Lepisosteus oculatus: one gene and its partners. The protein of the gene in region 3 interacts with the protein of the main gene of each other region in a biochemical or structural test. Links are inferred from orthologs where the notes say so. Each region holds a gene or a part of one and is shown on either strand. Other genes may lie near its edges. The genes, in order: ADP-ribosylation factor 4-like, arf6a and rab11fip3.

Evidence for each region.
Region 1: the proteins of rab11fip3 (region 3) and ADP-ribosylation factor 4-like form a complex in vitro, tested with the Homo sapiens proteins (2 studies listed by BioGRID). The link is inferred for Lepisosteus oculatus from reciprocal best matches to the Homo sapiens genes RAB11FIP3 and ARF5.
Region 2: the proteins of rab11fip3 (region 3) and arf6a form a complex in vitro, tested with the Homo sapiens proteins (2 studies listed by BioGRID). The link is inferred for Lepisosteus oculatus from reciprocal best matches to the Homo sapiens genes RAB11FIP3 and ARF6.

What each region holds. Positions count from the first base shown.
Region 1 is NC_090702.1:13,128,477-13,135,432, forward strand, and holds the start of ADP-ribosylation factor 4-like, read left to right. Parts: upstream 1-3,890; 5' UTR 3,891-4,031; coding exon 4,032-4,098; intron 4,099-6,956. Other genes in the region: gcc1 (GRIP and coiled-coil domain-containing protein 1), read right to left, coding at 1,218-2,279.
Region 2 is NC_090703.1:10,289,719-10,297,737, reverse strand, and holds the start of arf6a (ADP-ribosylation factor 6a), read left to right. Parts: upstream 1-4,989; 5' UTR 4,990-5,435; intron 5,436-5,622; 5' UTR 5,623-6,677; coding exon 6,678-7,205; 3' UTR 7,206-8,019. UniProt on the Homo sapiens protein: GTP-binding protein involved in protein trafficking that regulates endocytic recycling and cytoskeleton remodeling. GTP-bound form plays an important role in the transport of multiple palmitoylated proteins form the Golgi to the plasma membrane.
Region 3 is NC_090714.1:6,565,507-6,573,067, forward strand, and holds the start of rab11fip3 (rab11 family-interacting protein 3), read right to left. Parts: upstream 3,097-7,561; coding exon 1,570-3,096; intron 1-1,569. UniProt on the Homo sapiens protein: Downstream effector molecule for Rab11 GTPase which is involved in endocytic trafficking, cytokinesis and intracellular ciliogenesis by participating in membrane delivery. Recruited by Rab11 to endosomes where it links Rab11 to dynein motor complex.

The DNA of each region.
Region 1 (6,956 bases), on a different chromosome or scaffold from region 3:
AACACAATTACAAAATATAGAGGAGACCGTGGATGGTGGGACTAAGAAGAGCAGAGGGGTGAAGAATGGAACCAGTTAAGAAAAGGCTTTTCTGAAGCAGAGGGTTTTGAGTCTGGATTTGAAGGAGTTTAGAGAAGGTGACTCTCTGATATCCTTGGGGAGAGAGTTCCAGAGCTTGGGGGCATACCAGGAGAAGGCCCTGTCACCCATACAATGTAGACAGGCTTGGGGGACAGTAAGGAGAGCAGAATTAGAAGAGCGAAGGTTGCGAGGTGGAGAGTAGGGCGATAATAGTTCAGACAGGTACTGAGGTGCCAAGCCATGCAGAGCCTTAACCCCAAACATACTGCTAAAGCAACTGTGGAGTTTTTCAGGGCCAAAAAGTGGAACTTTCTTGGCCAGGTCAATCACCCGACTTGAATCCCACTGAGCATGCACTTCACTTACTGAAGACAAGACTGAAGCTAAAAAGCCGCCGAAATAAGCAGGACCTGAAAATGGCTGCATTACAGGCCTGGCAGAGCATCACCAGGGAAGATACCCAGCGTCTGGTGATGTCTATGGGTCGCAGACTTCAGGCAGTCATCAACTGCAAAGGATTTGCTACCAAGTACTAAACATGACTATTTTATTTAAGATTATGTTAATGTGTCCAATTACTATTGGTCCCCTGAAATGGGGGGACTATGTGTAAAAAGGGCTGTGTATATCGTTCACCCAATATAGACATAAATACCCTCGAATTAACCTTGACATTCTGCACTTTAACCTCATGGATATTGTTTTATTTCAAATCCAATGTGCTAGAATACAGAGCCAAAACAAATACACTGTCCAAATACTTACAGGCTGCACTGTATGCGCGTGCACACCTGCCACACTGTCAATCATTTAACACTCAGCGAGCTCCACTGTGCCTCACAGGAGAGATAGCAGTGTCAGGAGCAATGGTGCGTCTCTCACAGAAACCACCGCAGGCTCGCGAGCACCTGGTCGATTCTAAGGCTTGCTGTTGTGCAGCAGGCAGGGGAAATCAATTTCAGCAGTGCTCAGCTGATTTTGTGCTGCCTTTTGGGGAACCTATGAAATCTCATCTACGTTCGAACTTGTGACTCCTGGATTGCAATACTCAGCCTCCACTCTCTTCAAGCTTCTTTGCTGAATGAACTACTCACAAGAGCTAAAGAACATACCGTATGAAAGAGAACCAAAATTACCTTTCTCATCTCCTGTTGGATTTGTAGCTGGAAGTGCGCTTTGAGATCTTCAATCTCCTGCTGTAGTTCTCCCACGCGGGGGTCGGCTTTGCACTTCTCTCTCTCGGCCTCCTCGAGAGTTTTCCTCATTTCCTCCAGCTCCGTGGAAAGCACCCTAACCTGGGCTTCATAGTCTCCCACACGGTCGGCGGTTGTCATTTTCTCTACCAGAGCTTCTCTGGTCTCCTCCAGCTTAAGCTCTACATCTTGCCTGGCGGCCCGCTCCTCCTGCAGCAGCTTCTGGAGCTCACGGAGCATCAGCGCGTGGTCTCCTTGCTCCTGTGCCCGCTCGTGTTGCTGGGTGATGACCCGGGCTTTGGCCTCCGCGAGCTGCTCCTGCAGGCTTCTCACTTCCGCTTCATGATGACTCCTCTCCTCCTCCAGGCTTTTGCACAGATCCTCAAGGTCCTGCTTCACCTTCTTCTTGTCCGCCTGGAAGGAGGCCTCCATCCTTGACTTCTCCTGCGTCACAGTGGCCAAGGAGCTGGTCAGGGTGGACAGCTGGGCTTTCAGCTGCAGGACTCTCCTGTCAGCCTCCCCAGCCACCTGCTGCTCCCCACTGCTGGAGCTGACGCCACTCTCCGAGCCATTATTGTCTTCAGCCCTTTGCAAAGCGGACACAGCCGGCCCGTGCTCACCAAGGCTCTTTTCTTCTTCGGTCGCCTCTCCCTTGGTGCTGCTGCTGGCCACGCTGTTAGCGGTGTCCACACTGGCCGCTGTGTCCGCGCTGTCTTCGCTGTGCAACGAACACTTGTCGTCTCCAAGGTCCGAAGAACGCCGCTCCAGGCCAGAGGCCCCAGAAGGCGTTGCATTCGAATAGCTCAAGTCAGCTTCCTGGGATACAGTCAGAACTTTCAAGCTTGCCTCCAAAGCTTCCTTTTCCTTCAGAAGGCTTTTGTAAGCCCTGACAACGTCTTTAAAACGGGTCTGGTACTGAACCAGCTGTTTTTTCAGACTTTCTATAGTTTCCAGCAGCTCCTTCTTACTGGGGCCACCCCCAAAATTCATTCCAAACTTCTCCATGTTTGCTGGTTTCAGCTAAACAATCATACACGTCATGTCCCGAGGCACTATGAAATAAAAAGAAAAATGAATCAGACAAAAACTTAACATGAAATTTGAAATCCCCGTAACAATTAAGTAAAAAAATAAACGTGAAACAAATACACGCACAAAGACGGTGGGGATGATCATTTCGCATATGCAATAAAACACAGCAAACCACCGTATAAAACCGAGCATTTGTCATTCAATTCTCGCAACAAAGGAGAACTAGATATGCATAGAAACGAGTTCAGATGTCGTTCTTTCACTTCAAACTGTAATGTGCTAACCAAGAGAATCTCCGATTTAAAAACTGAAGGAAAAAGCAGTGCACTGAAAAAAAACTGAAGGAAAAAGCATTCTGAGTGGCTAAAAAGACCAGTTCTACTCAAAATAAGAGTTAATAAAATTATGCAAGCAAACCTCTACTCAAGAATATCTAATTTAAGATGTAATTCTCAGCTTTAGTTTCCATCTTTCAGCAACGGCTGCCATAAAGTTAATAATTCCATTATGAATAAATAATAAAAAATAAAAACAAAGTGCAATGTTGTGATATCTGGAATTTTCCTGGAGGCCTAACAAAGCTGACAGTCACATGGAGAAATGTCTCGAATACAGAACATCTACTAACTCTACATTTCGTATTTTGAACTAATGAAAAAGCTGCAAACGTACTTGTTTTTTTCTCTCTGTCCTCGATTAGTCGTTTAAGCTTGCTATCTTGTACACAGCTTACGTGTCCGTAACTCGTACTTCCTGGAAAGGGTCCTTTTAGTAACGGCTGAGTTTTCATGTATATTGGATTTGTTAAGCAATAAAGTTTTTACAACAAATTTATGGGGGCCATCTTAGTAAGGTCGGAAATAATTAGTCTGTGAAAAATTGAAGCATTCAGAGAAGAGTTTTATTATTTTGTATGCTTGTCTCTTTACTTTATATTTGTTTCAGAATAAACAAACAAAATTACGACGTATCGTAAAATAATTGTTGCTCCCCACCGGGTTGATCTCCTGGCTGTTTTTTTTTAACTAACAACCTGAGATATCTAGACAATAGACGAGATAAATGTATGTTCAAATTGAATTAGCAGAACAAACGAAAAACGCGGGGTCTTATTTTAAAGATCTTATTATAATGCAGCGATCATTAGTTGTAAATACCTTTTACAGGGTGTTGATATTGTAACGCATACGGCGGACCCTGCAGGTTGTTCGAGGTACAATATTAACGAAAATATTAAAATATAGTGTCCTGCCCGGGGCATGCTCCTGTATGTGCCTTATGCTTCTCGGACAGGACACCGGGTTATTCTGGCCATTGCCAGGAATAAGCGGCTTTGTGTTCATGGACGGATAAAATGTGACATGTCATTTCCATTTTAGCAGATTACGTCTGTACTTGCAAAGGTAATGCATGTGTGTTATGCTGCATACATCTACCAAACATTCCAAAATAAAGCATACATTTTTCTGAGCGTTGCTCACAGAATCGTTTGGGGGCAGATTGGGTTTATTACAGCAGTTTTGGAAATGAGACACCCTATGATTGCTAATAAAGTTTCATGAAAGCGGTGACGTAATTTCTTCCGCGTTGGCCTGGACGTGGCACCTGCATCAGAGGAGGAGGCAGTAGAGAGACTCCCATTTTCTATAGGGGCTGTTTAAACGATTTCTGTTTCTAACTGTAGACATCACTCGAAGTGTTAAAGGGGGGGTACTCTCGCACAACATGGGCCTCACTATCTCGTCGCTTTTCTCCAAGCTTTTTGGCAAGAAACAAATGAGGATACTTATGGGTAAGCATTGACAATACGGAGGCAGAGGGAGGGTATTGTTAGAGCTGCCCCAGAGACGAGGAGGAAAAGATGGGGCCTCTGTGGTTACATTCTGTACAGAGCGACAAAGGGGACGGCACGATTTGTTAATAACAGTACCGAATAAGTCACGATAACACTACGAGAGGTATTTAATTCTATTGCTGCTCATTGAGGTTGAAAGAGTGGAGATAACAATAGTGATGGATATCGAAATGCCTATTCCTTTTCTCCATTTCGTTTAGCAAGGTTTTTTGTGAAATAATGCAGTTAGGAAATGCCTTTCCTGCATTATGCAAGAAATCCGGTGTCCGTGCGTTTTAAATGTAGTTACTGCACGTTTTAGAAAATGGTAACGTTTTGTTTTTAGGAAGTTACCTATACTGGAACTGGTTATGGACTGTTAGGAATTATAACTCGAAGGCGAAAACATAAACATTATTTTCTTCCATTTCTTGTTTATTCTGAATATGAGTCCTCTATTTAGGCCTTCAGTGTTGTGTCCGTCTTTTTTTAGGATGTAAAAGGAACACTTAGTGATGCAACATTGGCAAAGATACTGTATAGCACCAAAGTGAGCTATCCATGGTCTTGTCATACCGTCGCCAGTTATAAATCTGAGATTATTATTTAGAATTATTTAGTATTTAGAATTTTCATTATATGTAATATTGTATGTTGCTGTGTGATTAAAACATCATATAAGTAGGCAGAACATTTTTTTTCTTTTGTAGGTAAAAGTGTTGAGTGTCATCGCACTGTAGTACAAACTCACCTTGAGGAAAAGCTAGTGCTCCAAATATGGAGGAGTGGTACACAATTCAGAACAATTCAGAACAATAGCCATAAGCATGGATTTGCCTTTTAAGTAAATAAGTGTACCCAAACCACGCTAGGAAAATGTTCCCTACATATTACGGAACCCCCAGCACCCTTCATCGTTGAAACTAAGTCTTTTGGGCTTTAGGTGCACTCAAGCATTTGTCAGGAACATGGTGAAAGATGTTTAATCTGACTGAATCACATTTCTCTACTGCTCAGTATTCCATTGCTTGTGCACTTTGCACCACTGGGCTCTAAAACATGTACTGCCCAATGTGATGAGTGCTTTGTGCACTTCAGACCAACAGTGGTATCCCACTCTGCGGAGTTCTCTGCGGATTGTTTCGGATCAAACTGGCAGCTTGTGCCGCAGGCTGAAATATGCAGTTGCTCGCTTGTCTTGCCCTGCTCTTCGAATTAATGCACGGCTGTCATGACCCTGGCGTGTGCACTTGTGTCCACTGTTCACCATTGGTGATGACATCTTGCTGTCATTGCACACTGATGCTGTTGCTCGTGAAATCTCAGCAGGATGGGCTGTCTTGATCACTGAGGCTCCAGTCAAACAAGAACAAACAACTGGAACCTCAACTGTCACTCCTACTTCAAAGTTTAAATTGAATGTTTTCATTTTTGTGCAAAAACGTGCACTACTTTTCACGGCTCTTCCATTTCACCTGTGTTTACTTCATGTCTTTCTTACCAATACCAAACTAGATGAAACAATGTCTCTTCTGAATGTTTTTCTCTGCTTTAAGAATGCACAGCATCAGACATTTTAAACTGTTGCAAACCTCAACAAGTACTGTAAATGCTAATGAAAAAGTTAAAAGTTAAAAAATAAATGTCAGAATGTGTCGTGTTAAATGTATTGTAGTTTAACCCCTACTTTGCATTTTTTATATCAAAGTTTTGGTGCCTTTTGTTGGATCTTTCAGGTTCCTTTAAGTGGTTATGCCTAGACAGTCAGAAATACTTCACTAATGATCTGTAGAACTGTACAACAGAATAAAAGGCTTCCTTAGAAAGAACTTCAGCAGGATAGAGCATGTCCATCCACCAATATGGGAATTAAGCAACATGAGCTAAAAAAAATGAAGAAAATGGAAATACGTGGGATTTAAGTGTCCAGTCAAAAATCATTTGAGTTCATAGTTCAATCTAATGCTTTTTGTTTGACCAGTTTGTAAAATAGATTTCTGTTTTTGGGGTTGCTTTTCTCTTGAGGTGCTATTCAGTAGCTTAAGATAAAGTACACCAAGAGTTGGTGAGGGGGGCCGTGATGGCAGCTTTTGATTATCTTCCTATAATGGTGTAGAAATGAAGTTAAGTAAGAGTTTTTCACCTTGAAGCGGTATGGAAATTAACTGGTTCCGTCTGCAACTTCATGGCAAGGATAATACTGTATTTCTGACTCCAAAACACGTTGCATCAGATTCTGAAGATTCCCTATTGTGTTTATTTGCCAGTGTGCAAATACGTAGTGTTGACACTCATGGCCTGATGTCCACCTGCTGCAGCAATACTCAACTTCAACTCATCTCCCTTTTTTAATGCAATAATCTCAGTATGGTAAGAATTTAAGAAATGTTACCAATGAAAGGAGGCCATTTGACCCATCTAACGACGTTTGTAGTTTGTAGCTAATTGCTCCATAGATGGGTGACAGTGTTCAGCATTACTGCCTCGCAGGACTGGGGTCCTGGGCTCAGTTCAAGACCTGGGTTGCTATCTGTGTGGAGTTTGTATGTTCTCCCCATATTCACGTAGGTTTTTGCTGGGTACTCCAGTTTCCTCCCACAGTTCAAAGACACGCTGGAAGGTTAACGGATGTGTGAGAAAATGAGCCAGATGAAAATTGTGGAAAAAAATCATTCTCAAATCAAGGCGGGATCCAGTCGTTTCTGCTGAAGGGTTCATCTCCCAACATTTTGTGTGTTTTGTGACGCTGGCCAAGATGTACTTAAAATTTTGGTGTTCATCTGTTCACAATAAAAAAAGGATCACATTTACTGTTA
Region 2 (8,019 bases), on a different chromosome or scaffold from region 3:
ACCAGCACACCCTGCGAAACATTGAGCAACAGCGGACACAGTATCGCAGGGCGCTGGGCAGACTGAATGCAGCCTGCACCTCTGGCTCTGTGAGGAACCCTGCAGTTCGCCCAGACAAGAGGCCCCGTCCCATCCTCCCAGCCCTCGAGGCAGCTCCAACGGCTTGTGAGAGAGCCGGGAGAAAGGAAACGCAGACAGAGAGGGCCAAGGCTGTAGCTGAGCCAGTGCAGCAGGGCTCCAGGTTGGCAGGAGACAGGCAAAGGATGCACCAGGGGCAGGCGAGCCAAGAGGAGCAGACAGATAAAATGGAGGTGGCCTGGGGGAAGACTTTAAGATCACGCGGCCTCAGCCAGCCTGGGTGGGCCACCCTCTCCTTCGAGGACATCAGACGAAGGCACAGGGTGATGATCCAGACACAGGATCCTTTCCGGAAGTGGAGGCATTTCCTGCTGTCAGCAGCCGGGTCCCAAGCCCATGGACACCTGCCATGTGCGCCGTGCCAGAGCCTCATGGGAACTCTGCCCAGGGCTGCACCTGGGCCCAGACCAGAGCATGCTGGGAACCTCAGATATCCCTGGAAACACTCCACAGCACACGGAGCATTGCAGGCTGGGATCTCTGGGTCAGACCTATGAGCAGAAAACCGCTTGGTCAGGGGACATCAGCTTCTCATGGGTGTGATCTCTTGGAAGATTCAAGCCCGGTAATTAGTTCCAAGTCAAAAGCTGTCCGCTAACACTTATTTCTGTGTGTGTTCACCCCATTTTATTATCTGGCTTTCATTATAATAATAATAATTGCTTACACTTATATAGCGCTTTTCTGGACACTCCACTCAAAGCGCTTTACAGGTAATGGGGACTCCCCTCCACCACCACCAATGTGCAGCCCCACCTGGATGCCATAGTGCGCCAGAACACTCACCACACATCAGCTATCAGTGGGGAGGAGAGCAGAGTAATGTAGCCAGTTCATAGAGGGGGATTATGAGGAAGCCATGATTGGTAAGGGCCAATGGGAAATTTGGCCAGGACGCTGGGGTTACACCCCTACTTTTTTCGAGAAACGCCCTGGGATTTTTAATGACCACAGAGAGTCAGGACCTCGGTTTTACGTCTCATCTGAAGGACGGCACCTGTTTTACAGTATAGTGTCCCCGTCACTATACTGGGGCATTAGGACCCACATGGACCACAGGGTGAGTGCCCCCTGCTGGCCCCACTAACACCTCTTCCAGCAGCAACCTTAGTTTTTCCCAGGAGGTCTCCCCTCCAGGTACTGACCAGGCTCACACCTGCTTAGGTTCAGTGGGTTGCCAGTTGTGAGTTGCAGGGTGATATGGCTGCTGGCATATCATTGACAGTCATTATCTTATATTGTTAATTGATGTGTGGTTTAAATCTAATTCTTGAAAGGTGATGGCAGTAATCCCAAACACAAGGGGGCTTACCTCTTACAGAATGGTTCCGATATATAGAAACTGTAATTGATGTGCTTAGCCTGATTACAGATATTTGCTCAGATATTTAAGCAATAAATGGCAGTTTAGGAAAACTACGTTTTGTTTTTGTGTGATTATTCATTCTTAGTAAAAAAATCCTTTATTTAGTATTCACAGTATTTCACTACTGCACAGACAGAGCGTCCGAAACTAGGTAGGTTGATGGGTCTTTCGGATTTTCCAAGGTCTCTTATCTTGTGAAATGAACAATTCCTTGCGATGTCCACTTTACTCCACAAGGGGGCGCTATATCTCCGAAATGTATGCCAGACGCATCACAGTCCAATTGCCCAGAGAAGTTACACACGTCACTTGGCAAAAATGGCACATTTATGTCAGGTCTGGAAAGCTTCATTGAATGATTTTGAGAATAAAGAACCACTTCTTTAGACGACATTGTTTCAACGTACTTAATGCCATATCAGATTTAAAAGTGGTGGACAACTGTGCAGTCTTTGCAAGAGGCAAAACGATTGATTGTCTTGTGTGAGGGAAACAAAGGCCTTCTGTGGGCAGTTTGAGAAAAAAAACGAAACCAGGCTGCAAACAGATTGAGGAGAGCCGCGTGACCCCAGTGGTTTGACTACTGCAGGGGTCCAGGGCTCGATCCTTATGTTCTGGCTCGGGTGCTTCTCTATTCTGCTCCCTGAACTGGTCCTGGAAAAGCACGTGCACACACAGAGACCGAATACAATATAATGAAGTCCATCGAAAACACAAAAACACCTGTGGCCTAAATAAGAAATTTCCATGGCACTGTATTTGTCTTTCAAATTTGGTGACATTAAACAGAAATATGTTTCAATTCTCCTTTACTTTCAGTGTTTTCTGTTGCCCGAGTGTGAGATGCATGGCAGGCCTTGTGTTTGTTTTTAAAAATAATTATCTCAGTGGAAAGAAAGTCTAAGAAAGTGGAAAGAAAGACTAGTCTAGCTAAACGTCAGAGTGACTGCCTGAGTCATGCTGGCCTGCAGCACGGATTGGAAACTGTGAGTGGAAGTGATTGGATTCTGGAAATTAAGCAGCAAGCTGGAAAGGCATCAGGATTGACAGCTAGCGCCAATGTTCCTCAGGAACAGAGGACGGGGCACTTCCTGGCAAACAGCGCTCTGTCCACCTTTGGTACGTTCAAGGGACAATCCACTGCTGAAGACCAATGGAAACACAAAACAAGAGAGAAGAGCCTGGTGAGAAATGTTCTGGATATTCTGTACATTGAAGTAGTTCGAGTAGGGGGCTGTGTCAGCATGCGTAGGCTGCAAAGGAACAGGTAACGGGTTTATTCCCTGCTGGAAAGAGAAGAAAAACACAACGTTTCGGCTGTGGAGCCTTCTTCGGGTGTGAGAAAGACAGGGTAGACGGCAAAGATTAAAAAGCACAGGAGAACACAGGCTGGAAAAGTGGAGGAGGAGGGAGAGGGGAGAGGCAGAGAGGCCACTCAGGAGGTGCAAAGTGGAGAGGGGTGGAGAATGGTGTGAATAGAGAAGATAACACGAAAATAAGTGTATGAGCAGAAAACGGTGCAATTTAATACCTGACACTCCTTCAGATAACCAAAATCAGCGGTTCGTGGGGTATCATCACAGCCCTTTATTTTATTCACCGCCTGGAGTAAACAGAAATACCAGCCAGAGGACGCAGGTGGAAACTAGGTAACAGTGTCTTTAAAACCCCAAAACAGGAGGTGTTTCTTTACCAAGCCACACTGGTGAAGCCAATACCTTGACTCCTTTCACGAAAACAGCTGGACGAGATCCTGGGATCAATTAACGATCAACTACCAAATGAGCAAAATGGACCGATTGTGGTTTGCAATCCATTCTCAAGCTCAAACCATAATTCAGTCCATCAGATCCATGATTCTGCAGTTAGAAACTTGCCTTTGCGTGGTATTGTGCTCTGATGACATTTCTGTCCCATTCCTGCTTTGTGTTTGGAGTCAGCAGCTTATTTCGCACCTAGACATCCGTGTCAGGATGTGACAGGTTTCCTGCAACATCGCACACGCGTAAAAGAATGACCGCGCACAGGGACGAGCCTCCGCAGCTCATGAAAGACCTGAAGCGCACAATAGCGCACGTCAGCCACATTTTCACTGTCTAACGCTGGAAAGCTGTAAAGACTCGCCCTCGTCATACCCAGCACTGCTTGCATTGATCTCCACAATCGTTTATGTTATGTCGCGATATTTTACACGAGTGCTGTCGTTTAGCGTGAAACGGAAGAGGTTCAGATTGCGCCCAGCGAAACAAAAGGTGTCTGAATGTGAAGACGAGGGTGTGGCGGCCGGTTAATAGGAAATAAGCGCTGTGTGGTAAAGGCGTTTCAACTCATTGATGGTCTGTGGAAACGCCTCAGTACTGCGAAGCTCTTCGGTCTCCTCATTTCCTCATAAATTAAAGCCATTTTTTAATAAAAAACGTAGCCGGTGTCTGTCCTCTACATAAACTTAAGACACATTTGAAACGCTTGTTTTTTTATGAAACGTAAACAGTTGGTGCTTTATATTTATATGTTCAAGAAACTATGGAACGTATAGAAGCCCTTAATTCGCTAAATATTACTATTACCTTAGGGCCATTTCAGACTTCCTGTTAAGTTATACATACTGTATATACACTGTATTACGTTATTCTAAAACGTAATACTGCTTGTCTTCACTCCTTTTTATGGAAACTTTAAGAACCATTTATTGCTGAGCACAGTTGTTCCGGGGTTTGGCGTTTGTAGACTCAAACATGAAAACATTACATTTTGAAAAGGACGCTTGAAACACGGTGAAGTATTTTTCCCCCCTACACTCTGTAGTTGTGTGTCATGGTATACGTTCAATTCGGTAGATCTATCCGCAGTTTTAATTCACCCACCACCCAAGCAAAATAAAGCGAAGTCGTGAATGTAGACATTTGTAAATGCAGGTCTTAGAAACTACTATTGCAACGAGTGCGCGGAAAATGGGCTGGTAACAGAACAGAGCTGGGGCTTTCTTAAAAAGGCTGCTTAGGTGGAGTTGGCCCTAAAATAATCAAGGTAAGGATTATAGCTTTAGCGGTGCAGTATTGCGACACAGGCATACGTGTAATTAATAGCTCTCACTTTTATCAGGATGAAGACAGGAAGGGGTTATTTTAGACAAGCCCCCCTTTCGGTAGCTAAAAGTGTTTCCAGAGCCAAGTTAAAATAACATACAAACCCCCCCTCCGAAGCGCGATTCAAACACCGGGCGGAAGAGACTTCACCTCCCTTCCACGCTCTCGCACGAACTATTTTTACACGGGGGGTGATAATATAGCGAGGGGGCGGTGTCCCTGTCAGCACGCACGGGCAGCGCCCTCCCTCGAGAGTAGCCGAGCCCCCTGTCAGTTAAGCGTGCAGCTCGTGGCCTGTCTGCGGCATTATTTGAAATCCCTCACAGTACCCACTGAGTGACGCCTACGTCATAACGCACCACCTCTTTCTTTTTTCACATTTGAGCGCTGGCTGTCGACTCACACCCTCGTCCACCGAGCGCCTCTCCTTTACTGCCGCCAAAGGCAATAACCCCCTTCGTTGCGTTTTTTCATTCAAGAGAATCGTTGCACATGAAAGATCCGGTTGGGGGGTGACACATCCCGAAACTGCGCTGGCGGGCGGCCGCCATCTTGGCTCCCGCTGCCGTGCGCCGCAATGAGGGACGCCGAGCACGCGTTTGGAGCCCCAATGGCGTCAGTTTCCTGAGCCTCTGAGCCCCGTCAAAGGCGGTGCGTGGTAACTACTCTGCGCATGCCAATGGGCGGAAATGGGGAAAAAAAAGTGCCTGAAAGTAAGCGAGCGAGAGGAAGTGGCGGGTGATCGGGTCCGCACCTTTTCCGGTAGCCGAGAGCCGCTCGGAGCTGAGAGAGAGAGAGGCGAGAGCGGGGTGGATCAATCCGGGGATCGGGGGGCCGCAGAGCAGGTAACAAAAAAGACGCCAGACACCGGCGGGACCGGCTGAGAGAACCGCGTCTCAGAAATGCCGGCGCCGCTTTTGTTCAGCATTGAGCGGAAAACGTAACCACGCTAGCGGCGGCTGCGCTTAAAGTTGTGTTTTTTTTCCCCTCCCCTGACACCCCTCCCTTTTCTCAACCGCTCTTGTGTTACAGGGAGAAGAGAAGAGGAAGCTCTCGAATGAATCAATGACCTTTGGAGTCGCCTCGGCTCAGGCTCTTCCGTCTCCGACAGAAGTGTGGCGGACCCGGGCGGACCAGGCTGAAGCGCGGAGCCGGTGAAATTGCGAGCTGCCCACCCGGTTCAGAAAGGAGGGGAGGCGGCGGCGGCGGAGGAGAAGGAGGAGGAGGAGGAGGGGAGAGAGAGAGAAACGGGCGAGCGGAGACCTCGACACGGGCACGCCAGGAGGAAGTCTGTGAACTAGCTCCCGCAGGCTTCTGCGAAGGCCTGCTCGGGCAGCCGCGCCGATCCTCAGCCAGCTCACTTCTGGAAGTTGAGAGAGGGGCCGGGAGAGCAACACCCACCCCCCCCAGCCGGACCCGTCTGTGTTGTAGGCCCTCGCCTTAGAGAGGAAGAAGGCAAGCCGAGGGACTGGAGAACCGCATTACACGGACCCGTAAGTGGATCCCGGTGTGCTCTTGATGTGGACTTGAAATAACCGGCCTCCCCACACCCTCTTTGTCAACCTCTTTCCGGCACCTGGATTCCTCGCCACTCCCGGTGTCTTTTAACTGTGACCTCGGCCTCCCTTTTGGCGTCCCGGCTCGGTTCAAGGCAAAACCTTTTACTGACTGAAAGGGATATCTGACAGCCCGGGAGGAGGGGGGACGGACCGACCGACGGGACAGCTTTGTTGTTATGGATTCTTTTCGGATGTTGTCTAGAAGTTGCACAGCCGGCTTTTAGTGTTGGGGGAGCAGTAATCTCGCACGGACGGATTGCCGCTTTGCAGAGACACCGTCTGCGTCTACAGCCCAGCGATTGAATGGTTTCTAACTTCAGCCTGTCCTGATGTACTGTCCTTTGCTCCCCACCGGATATTGACCAGTGCGTGACCAGTTGGCTGCTTGGGCTGAAAGTCGGGAACTGTTCGGTAAAAAGAAATACAAAATCAGAACATCTTATTTATTAGGTCTCAAGTGCACAACGGGGGTCCAGGTGACTTATTGAATTTCTCAGAGGAACTGGATATTTATGCGCTGTTTACACGATGGGGAAGATGCTATCCAAGATATTTGGCAACAAGGAGATGAGAATATTGATGCTTGGACTTGACGCCGCGGGGAAGACCACCATACTTTACAAACTGAAACTGGGGCAGTCCGTCACCACCATCCCCACCGTAGGCTTTAACGTGGAAACCGTGACCTACAAGAACGTGAAATTCAACGTGTGGGACGTCGGGGGACAGGACAAGATTCGCCCCCTGTGGAGGCACTACTACACGGGCACGCAGGGGTTAATCTTCGTGGTGGACTGTGCGGACAGAGACCGCATAGACGAGGCCAGGCAAGAGCTCCACCGCATCATTAATGACCGGGAGATGAGGGACGCCATTATCTTGATTTTTGCCAATAAGCAAGACCTGCCTGATGCCATGAAGCCGCATGAGATCCAGGAGAAACTGGGCTTAACCCGCATCCGAGATAGGAATTGGTATGTGCAGCCGTCCTGCGCGACTACAGGTGACGGACTGTACGAGGGGCTGACTTGGCTAACTTCTAATTACAAATCTTAATGGTCGAATGATGACTGGTTAGAACAAGCAAAAAAAATAAAATAATACAAAATTTACACGAGAAGAAGCAATTAACAAATAACATGGCTTCTCGGAAGAATATAATAAAAAAGTTTGATTATAATTCATTTTCTTTTGATTATTATATGACCCCCGTATAACTAATCATTTTTTTTCTTAAAGTAATTATTTGGCTGGCTTTAATTTTGCTTTTGCGCTGTCCTTGGATCACGTTCTTTATTGATTACCGTGACTCAAGAAATACTCCCGTGAGAGACTTTTTAAAAGAAAAAGCAGACTACATGAATTGCCTCAAGCTCTTGAATTTTCTTAGTTTTATTGTATTATTTCCTTTGGCGGGGCGGGGATTTTTTTTTTCTGTTTTACTTCTCATTTTTGCCTCTCTGAACCTGCTTGATGTAGACTTTGCTTCTTTTACATTCATACCGAACATGTGTGCGATGTTCAGGCCTGAAGTTTCTAATAGTAAATATATATAAAAATTGTTTGAAAAAAAAAACAATACGGCGTGTCTCTAAATTTTATACTGTTTCTTTGAGAAGGAATTAAGCCCAGAGCTTACAGATTTAAGATTGCCGAGAGAGCCACCAGGTGTTTAGCAGCACCGTTCTGTTACAACTATGTGAAGTATTACTGTAGGTATAGATGCTGAACGAGGTACAAGTATACTACAGCAAAGTGCTCAAAACACTTCTATATATATGTATTCCTTTGTAAATGAGCGTCCCAAGCATTGGTGACCTGCAATGCTGTTTTGAAGGACCCCCCCGCCGCACACGGGTTTTAAAAGTCA
Region 3 (7,561 bases):
TCACTGCTCGGCCCTCTCGGGGGGGAATTACTGTCATTTTCACGGAAAAACGCAGAACTGGAAGAGAGATTTTAGACGTAAAAAAAAGAAATAGTGGGATGTCTCAAACTGCACGAAACTCAAGGCTTCGAGATTAAGGGAGGTCGTTACTTTTTTTGATCCTCTTGGAGAAAAAGGTGTAGGTTCCAGGTGAAAAAGGAAAATTGATTTGTGTGAAAGGGTTTAATACCCCACAAATTCAGCCTTTGTATCTTCAATACAACTGACTCTTCGAAACTCAGACATACAGTACTGCACTACAGCATCCCAGCAGTCAAACTGACTTTATTGGTTTAAGTATGGTAAACGTAAAGTCAATGACGTTTGCTACCTCACTTCTCTTTGACAACCCTGTTACGGAACACCGTAATCTTGTTTCAGAACAAAGGGAGTTTATCTGAAACCATACACAGGATTCCCTGCACTCCAGTGTCTTAAATGGTTCCACTGTGCAGGAGCACCAAGAGAGATCCATCTCTACCCCCACTTGAACAACTCATCTCCCATTAAAAAAAAAAAATCTGATAGCACGATCTCGGTCATTCCAGTGCAGGATGCACATGGCCCAAGCCGAAACCTGTAGGCAGGGAACCCCAGTCTCCAGTTTACTGGATGTAGAAAACCCAGCTCCAGAAAGGAAACTGTACAGTTAAAAACCTTTAAGCTGAGCTTGCAAGCACCAAAGCGCTTGACAATAGCACATATGGCTTTGTACTGTTAAGACCTCAGCAGACTGCACTGAAGGCAGTACAATTGGACTGGTAGAACTGATTGAGCATGATGACTCATTGCAAACCCAAGCAGATACAACTTCAAAACATTATCTGGTTTGTCCTGGGACACCACATGTGATTAGTTTTAGTGTGTAGCCCAGTAGCCCACTGTGAGGCCTGAGCCACATTGACACAGACCTGTCCAGTCAGCTCCGACTGGGCAACCTGTCAGTGTCGTAAGAAAGATGACAAACAAGATCAGGGCATCCGGCCCCCCTAGTCTGCGCAGCACCGCGGGGTCATTTTACTGGGGGGTACAGGGGAGCAGCCCCGTGGAAACAGGGAGAGAGCAGCCCTTAGCAATCTCACAGTCTGAGCTCCTGCTGTCCTGCACATGGGGCTCATCTTAAGATACCCCACCACGAGCCACTGTTTCAAACTTCTGATCACCCTCGGCAGGCTCTGTGCATTTAAACAGCTCTTGAGCTTTTGAACTTGCTTTCACAAAAAGCCATTTCTAAGGTTTATTACTAGAAGTAGAGCAATAAATCCCCTCCCTGTAGTTCAAGGGGTTTCAGACATGCTGCTTCCACCATTAAACACCCTGCCCCGAGACTCTGCATACAATTGCATGCTGAGAAACACAGATTCCCTTTTTGTTGAATGTTTCTTTTTTGGCTTACAAAGCCTAGTTTCCAAACTAGGTCGGGAAAACAACCTCCGAGAAATGCCAATATTGAGAGCTCAACGATTCATTCCCGGAGCGAGAGAAAGTTGTCGGAGCACAGGACAACTGCATCAATAAAGACCGTCTTACCTGCTCAGCACCATAGACTGTGGCGAACTGCACAAACTCCTCCATCCGCACAAAGCCATCCCGATCCTGGTCCAGAGCGTCAAACACCGCTCTCAGAGGGGACACGTCCTCCGCCCGCGGGCTGTCCTCCCGGTAAGAAACGCTGCCCCCTGCAGGCAGGGAGGGAGAGAGCTCCACGTCCAATACCGAAAACTCTTCCGCGGGCTGACTGCTAGTCCGCAACAAGAGGGGGCCGGACACAAGGGATTCCTCGGCGGGATCGTGAAGACCGTTCTGTTCGAGGTCAATTATATCCTTGGGAGCACCCAGGTCCGCCTCCGACTCTGTACTCTTCCCACCCTGAGCCAAAACTGGAGATCCGCACAATACTCCCTCGGTGAGCTGTGGTTCCAAAATGTCTTTCTCCTGCATTGCAACGGCAGGTAAACATGGGTCCGAAACCACATCTTTGTGCTCTTGACCACAAGATCCTGAACCCTGACCCGAGCCCAGCTGGCCGGGCACTAAATCCCTTGATGACTTCCAATCCGAGGCCGGGTCATTATCCGGGCCGTCGGAGTCCGACACAGCTCCAGATACAGGCGACGGTGGGCGACCAGCTGGTTCTGAAGACTGAGAGGGTAGTGCAGGCTGTGGAAACACCCAGTTCCCCGGGTCTTCCCGGGAGGAAGAGGCAGTTAAAGTCTCCGCTGAGGCATCCTGCTCTGGGGTCCCAGCAGGCAGACTCGGGCTCACAGTTTCGCTCCGCAGAACATGATCCACAGGGCTGGGGCAGCTCTCGTGATCAGGGCCTGAAAGGCCTGCACTTCCCTGTGATCCACTGCACCCTGACTGCGAGGGGGGGCTCTCGCAGCCCTCAGGTAAGCCCTCCGGCAGCTCGTGACTCAATGCGGGCAGATCCATCTCCGGCTCTTGGAAGGAACTTCTGCCCTCGGTTTCAGGTAACAGCGCGTCCTCCGGTGACGAGGACTCAGAGCCGTCGTCGTCTTGCGACAGCGGAGGCGGCTCCCTGCCGCCATCCACCAGATCTAGCCGGCGGGGCTGAAAGGGGCTGGACTCTGGAGAGAAATCCGGCTCGGAGTTCAAAGCGCCGATTCCCCTCACCGCTAAAGCAGGACTGCCACTGAAACCAGTGTGATCCGTGGCGGGGCTGCCCTGGAAGCTGACCAGCTCCACTGCCCGGTTGTGGTTAAAATCCGTGCCCTGCCTGGGATTTTTTTCCCACTGCAGTACAGTGCAGTCACGGCCTTTCTCCCAGGACAAGATCTGGTCCACACTAGGATACCCTGAGCTCCTAAGAAGGTCATCTAGATTTAAGGCATTCTCCTGAAGGATCTCATCCAGATTCAGGGACACCAGTTTCTCCTCCCCTGCTCTGTAATCCAACCCCGGCTCCGGACTCTCTTTGCTCCCCTTGGACAAACTAACTCCCTTGTCCGGCTCCAGTAAGAGAAATCCCAGCGACTGTTTCTGCTCCAGCTCCCAGTCGGAACGCCCAGCCGGGCTAGACAGCAGCACTTGCTCCATTGAAGCGCTTTTTAAACACTACCTGAAAATCCTAAAGGCAAGACAAGCAGCCCTAAGAACTGAAACAAAGGCAGAAAAAAACAAAAACAAGAATCCGGAAAGAATTCGCAAAGGTTTCCCTTGCGGACGACCAAAAGCAAGCCAGCGGCTTATTGTTCAACACAAGCACACCCTTCAGCAGATCCAAAGGCATCTCAGAGATACAGTAAGTAAACACTTTTAAATCCACGGACCGGCGTGTTAGTAAGGCATTAGTACCAACACCAACACCTGCAGGGCTGAGCTCTTGCAGCCACTGTCCCTATGTCCACTCCGCTGCCTGAACTGCAACCTTCACAAGCACGGCCATTCTTGGCAGACGGGGGATATTTATTGCTAGGTTTCATTCACCCACTTTCCTCTGAAACAACTCATTTTTTCCCCCCAGCACGAAGCGCTGTGGGTCTTTCCTCGGTAGGACCTGTTAGGTTTCTGCCTGCTCCCCAAAAAAATTCCGGGCTGGAAAAATGTCGGTTGTATCTCCGTTTTGAAATGGTCTGCGGGCCGCTCTTGGGGGAGAAAGAAAAAAAAAAAGAAGAAGCGTTTTCCGACGAGGTGAAGTTAATTCCGTCCAGGCCCCGCGTTCGCCTCCTTCCCAAAAAAAGGCTCTTTTCTTCCCCCGGCTCGTTTCATACTCCTCCTCGGGCCCTCGTTTCCCCTCGGCGTTTTCACTCGGCCAAACCTTCACAACTGCAGCAGGGGAAAAAAAAAACAAGAGGAAAAAAAATAGGGGTGAACAGAGAGCGTGAAACACCGCCGGTGTGTGTGTGTCTGTCGGGTTGGGTATAAATATTTGATGGATGTTGTAAAACTGTTCCTCGCAGTTGCTAGGCACCGCTGTAACCCGACGGGACGGCGAATCTCCCCTCCCCTCCAGCGGAGCTCGGCGCTTCGCGTTAGCCCAAGTTATTTCTCGCGTTTTGAACTGATTCGCCTCGTCGTTTCATTCGGCTTTCACAACCAGATCCTCAGCGGCTCCCCGAAACGCGACCGCCGGGGCAGCGCAGCGCCGCGCCGCGTCTGTCCTCCCCCGAAGGCGCCTGCCGGTAGGGGGGCTGTGAAACAAGATTTTCCGTTAGCGTCTCCCCGGTGAAAGAGCATCCCTCACTCGCCCGTCTCGGCGACGACTCTCACGGAAAGCCGGCTCCTTCTCGCGTCCCACCCCCCCCCCACCGAGCTCGGCTGGTTTCCTGCGAGAGCTGGTACACGTCCTTCAGCCTGATCCAGGTTTTCCAGCCCCGGATCCCCCTCTCCGTGCGGGGGGGAAAAAGAAATGCGTGAACCCCCCCCCACCCCTCTCCACTCAGGCTCGTTTCTCAAGGCTCATCCACCTGCGTGGGCTGGCGGAGCCCCCTTTTTCTGCCCTCACCTCCGTCCTTCGGTCACCCCTGAAAATGACCCGCTTTCAAGGCCATCGAAGCGCTCCTCAGTTCAGATACGCAGGTGTTTCCATTAGGTACCGCCGGTGACTGATGGCTCCGTGGACTGCCGTCCGTCTCTCTCTCTCTCGCATCAGCAACTGCTCCGCCATCGCCAGCCGCATACAGCACTGACGTCACCGCCCCCACAGCGCGCAGGCGCAGCGAGCACGCCGCAGTCTGTCGACTCAAAAGCGCCCCGGCCCCTACAGTCCATCTCTTAAAGGAAAGGTGTGCGTGGATGTGTGTCTAGTGAGGTATAGACACAGTGGCAAGCATGGGGCAGCGCAGCCCAGGATATACCCAAAGCTGGGCAGATTAGGTAGTTGTCTTTAACTTACTTAAAAGGTTTGACAAAACCGCAACCACCGTGGGTACGAAACTGAGCACGCACTGCGAGGCAGTAATCACTCACGTTATTGTCCACGCCGATCGATCAGTGATTGGCAGCTCCTCGCATTGCGTTTGTCGCCTTGTTTTCAAGCTCATTAAGGCTGAGGTTTCAAAGAAACCAGAAAAGAAGTGTTACGCTGTCAGCCAGTGGGACGTCACTGACCTATGTGGTAGTACAGGTTCCAGGTTATCGCTCACACGGCTTCTACTAAAACAAAAAAAAGGAAAAAAAAACATATTTCCTTCATTCTGAAATCCCCTTGCCAGACCACAGGTAGAGAAATCCGACACTTTTTAGCACAGTACTTATATCAGGTAACAGTGTAAATGCATCATACAGTAGTTTCGAACGACCCTTGTTCGCGAGTGTGCGTGGATGCAGGACAGTGGGTTGAGATTTCACAGCCCCGGCAAGGATCAGATCTCCTGTCGCCTCGGGGAGTGTTCGCAAGTCCAGTTGTACCTCTGGGCGAAACGATGACTTCACTGGCCCTTCAGAGTCATGTATTTCCCATGGCTTTTTCGGGGTTCCTGGCATGGGGTCTTACGAAAGGGACGTTTCTTAGCATACCATACTAAAATGTACAAAAATAACGTCCACGGACAGCTGATTTCTTCAGGTCCTGCGTCTGAATAAAACAATCACCTTCAAATCTGGCGAAGCTCAAGCAATATGTTGGCTACACCACTTAAAAATAATCAAATACAATCGATCAATAGGAATTACAACACCGCACTATTGCTTCAGTGAGCTGAAAGAGCGTTTTAATTAACATCTACTGTTTCGCACGCACTATGGCCAGCTAACCCACACTGTGCAAACGCCGAGTTTCCCTGCTCTTTCTCCCTCTTGTGGTTGTGAAAATACTTCCGGGTTTTTTTTTGTTGGTAGTACAGGACAACCACGAAAGCCATATGGACGAACTCTTGTGAATCCTGACTTCGATGAATAATAATAATAAACTTTATTTTATATAGCGCCTTTAAAGGTGGCTTCTCAAAGCGCTTTACAGGATGACAACAACAATAAATAAGACGAATACACAAGATAAATACACAGAGGAGACTGTGGATGGTGGTACTAAGTAAAGTAGGAGAAGAGGGGTAAAGAATGGAACCAGTTCAGTAAAGGCTCTTAAATTACAATATATAGAGGAGGAATGACCGCAAGAGTCACAGGTCCCAAGATTCCTAACACAGCAGGGTCCGCATACGGATTAATAGCATCAAAAGCTAGTTTTTTTTTCTCGTCGAAATTAAAGGAATATTTTAGGGACATCTTTATCACTTCTTAGCTCAGGTAAAAAGCAATCCCTAAACCCAGTTTAAGACAAGAACAAAAAATTAACATTATAAAAAGAGTTCAACATGACCCTCCTGCCCCGGAGACAGCATCCCATTCAGATTTTCATCGCTCACGTTTAAAAGCACCTCTTGTGTACTTTTACAGCAATGACTTCTTTTTATTTTAAAACATCGTGGCAAATATATACGGCCTACAAACGGGGAAGCTAATTTCCGTGGTGCAAACTACAAGTATATTGACCCCCCAACAAAACTAGGGAAAAGTCCCAAAACAAATATTAAGAATTCGAGTCACTCACATGGACGTTTTTGTGCAATTCTATTTCAACTTAAATGAGTGTTTAAAAAGTAGCCCTTACCTGCGTCTGCTTTACCTGAAACATTTCCATTCTGTACAGACAAAGAGTCGCTAACACTCCCAGAAGGTTTAACTAGAAGTATCTACAACTCTTTATCTGCTAGCTAAATCTTTGATATCGGCAACCTGTGAGATCACAGGTCGGGGGTCTGAGCAAACTTCCGTTAGCCTTTCCCCTGTACTAATGAGATTCTCCACAGGCAGCGGTACTGGGTCCACAGATTCAACGAGATTCAGACGAACAAAGATGATCGCATTTTTTAGTTATTTATTGAACTAAATTTACGTACTCTTCCCAAAAGCAGCTCTTAGTGATTATATGATGTATTATATTATACGTTTATAGACGCAGTGAAAGCTCTAAACCTTACTAGAGATAATCTTGACCCTACCACGGAAAAAAACGGAAAGATACATTTCTGTTGTAAAAACGTTTGCTGAGACGTTTCACGAACGCAATATAAAAGCAGTATGACGCCGTATAAATATGAATTCCTGTCTTCAACCAGCCTCTGCTTCAGTGTTTGAATATGCAAAACACTGACGTCACTTTGAGAAAACGGGATTATTGGTATTTCATTCAAAACAGGACAAAGAAACTCCAAAAAGCTCCAGGAAGCATCGGTTTACCGAAACCCGTTCAATGTAGTCCAACGAGAATTACTTCTTCACGCATCGAAGGGAAATGTTGGTTACTTCATGTAAAATGATAAATTCCCAAGTTACGCTTTCTTTCTCTAATCAGTTTTTAATCATTATGCTTAGAACATAATTTATTGATTTGAATTTGCCTACCCAGTGTTCAGGACTTCTGAAAAAAAAGGACAAAGACCTGGTTTCATTACTAACAGCACAAGTACTGCCCATCCATTTTTAAACAGTTCTATCCAGGACAGGGTCACAGGTGGACACTGGATTCTATCCCAGCAAGAACCAGGTCCAGGATACACCC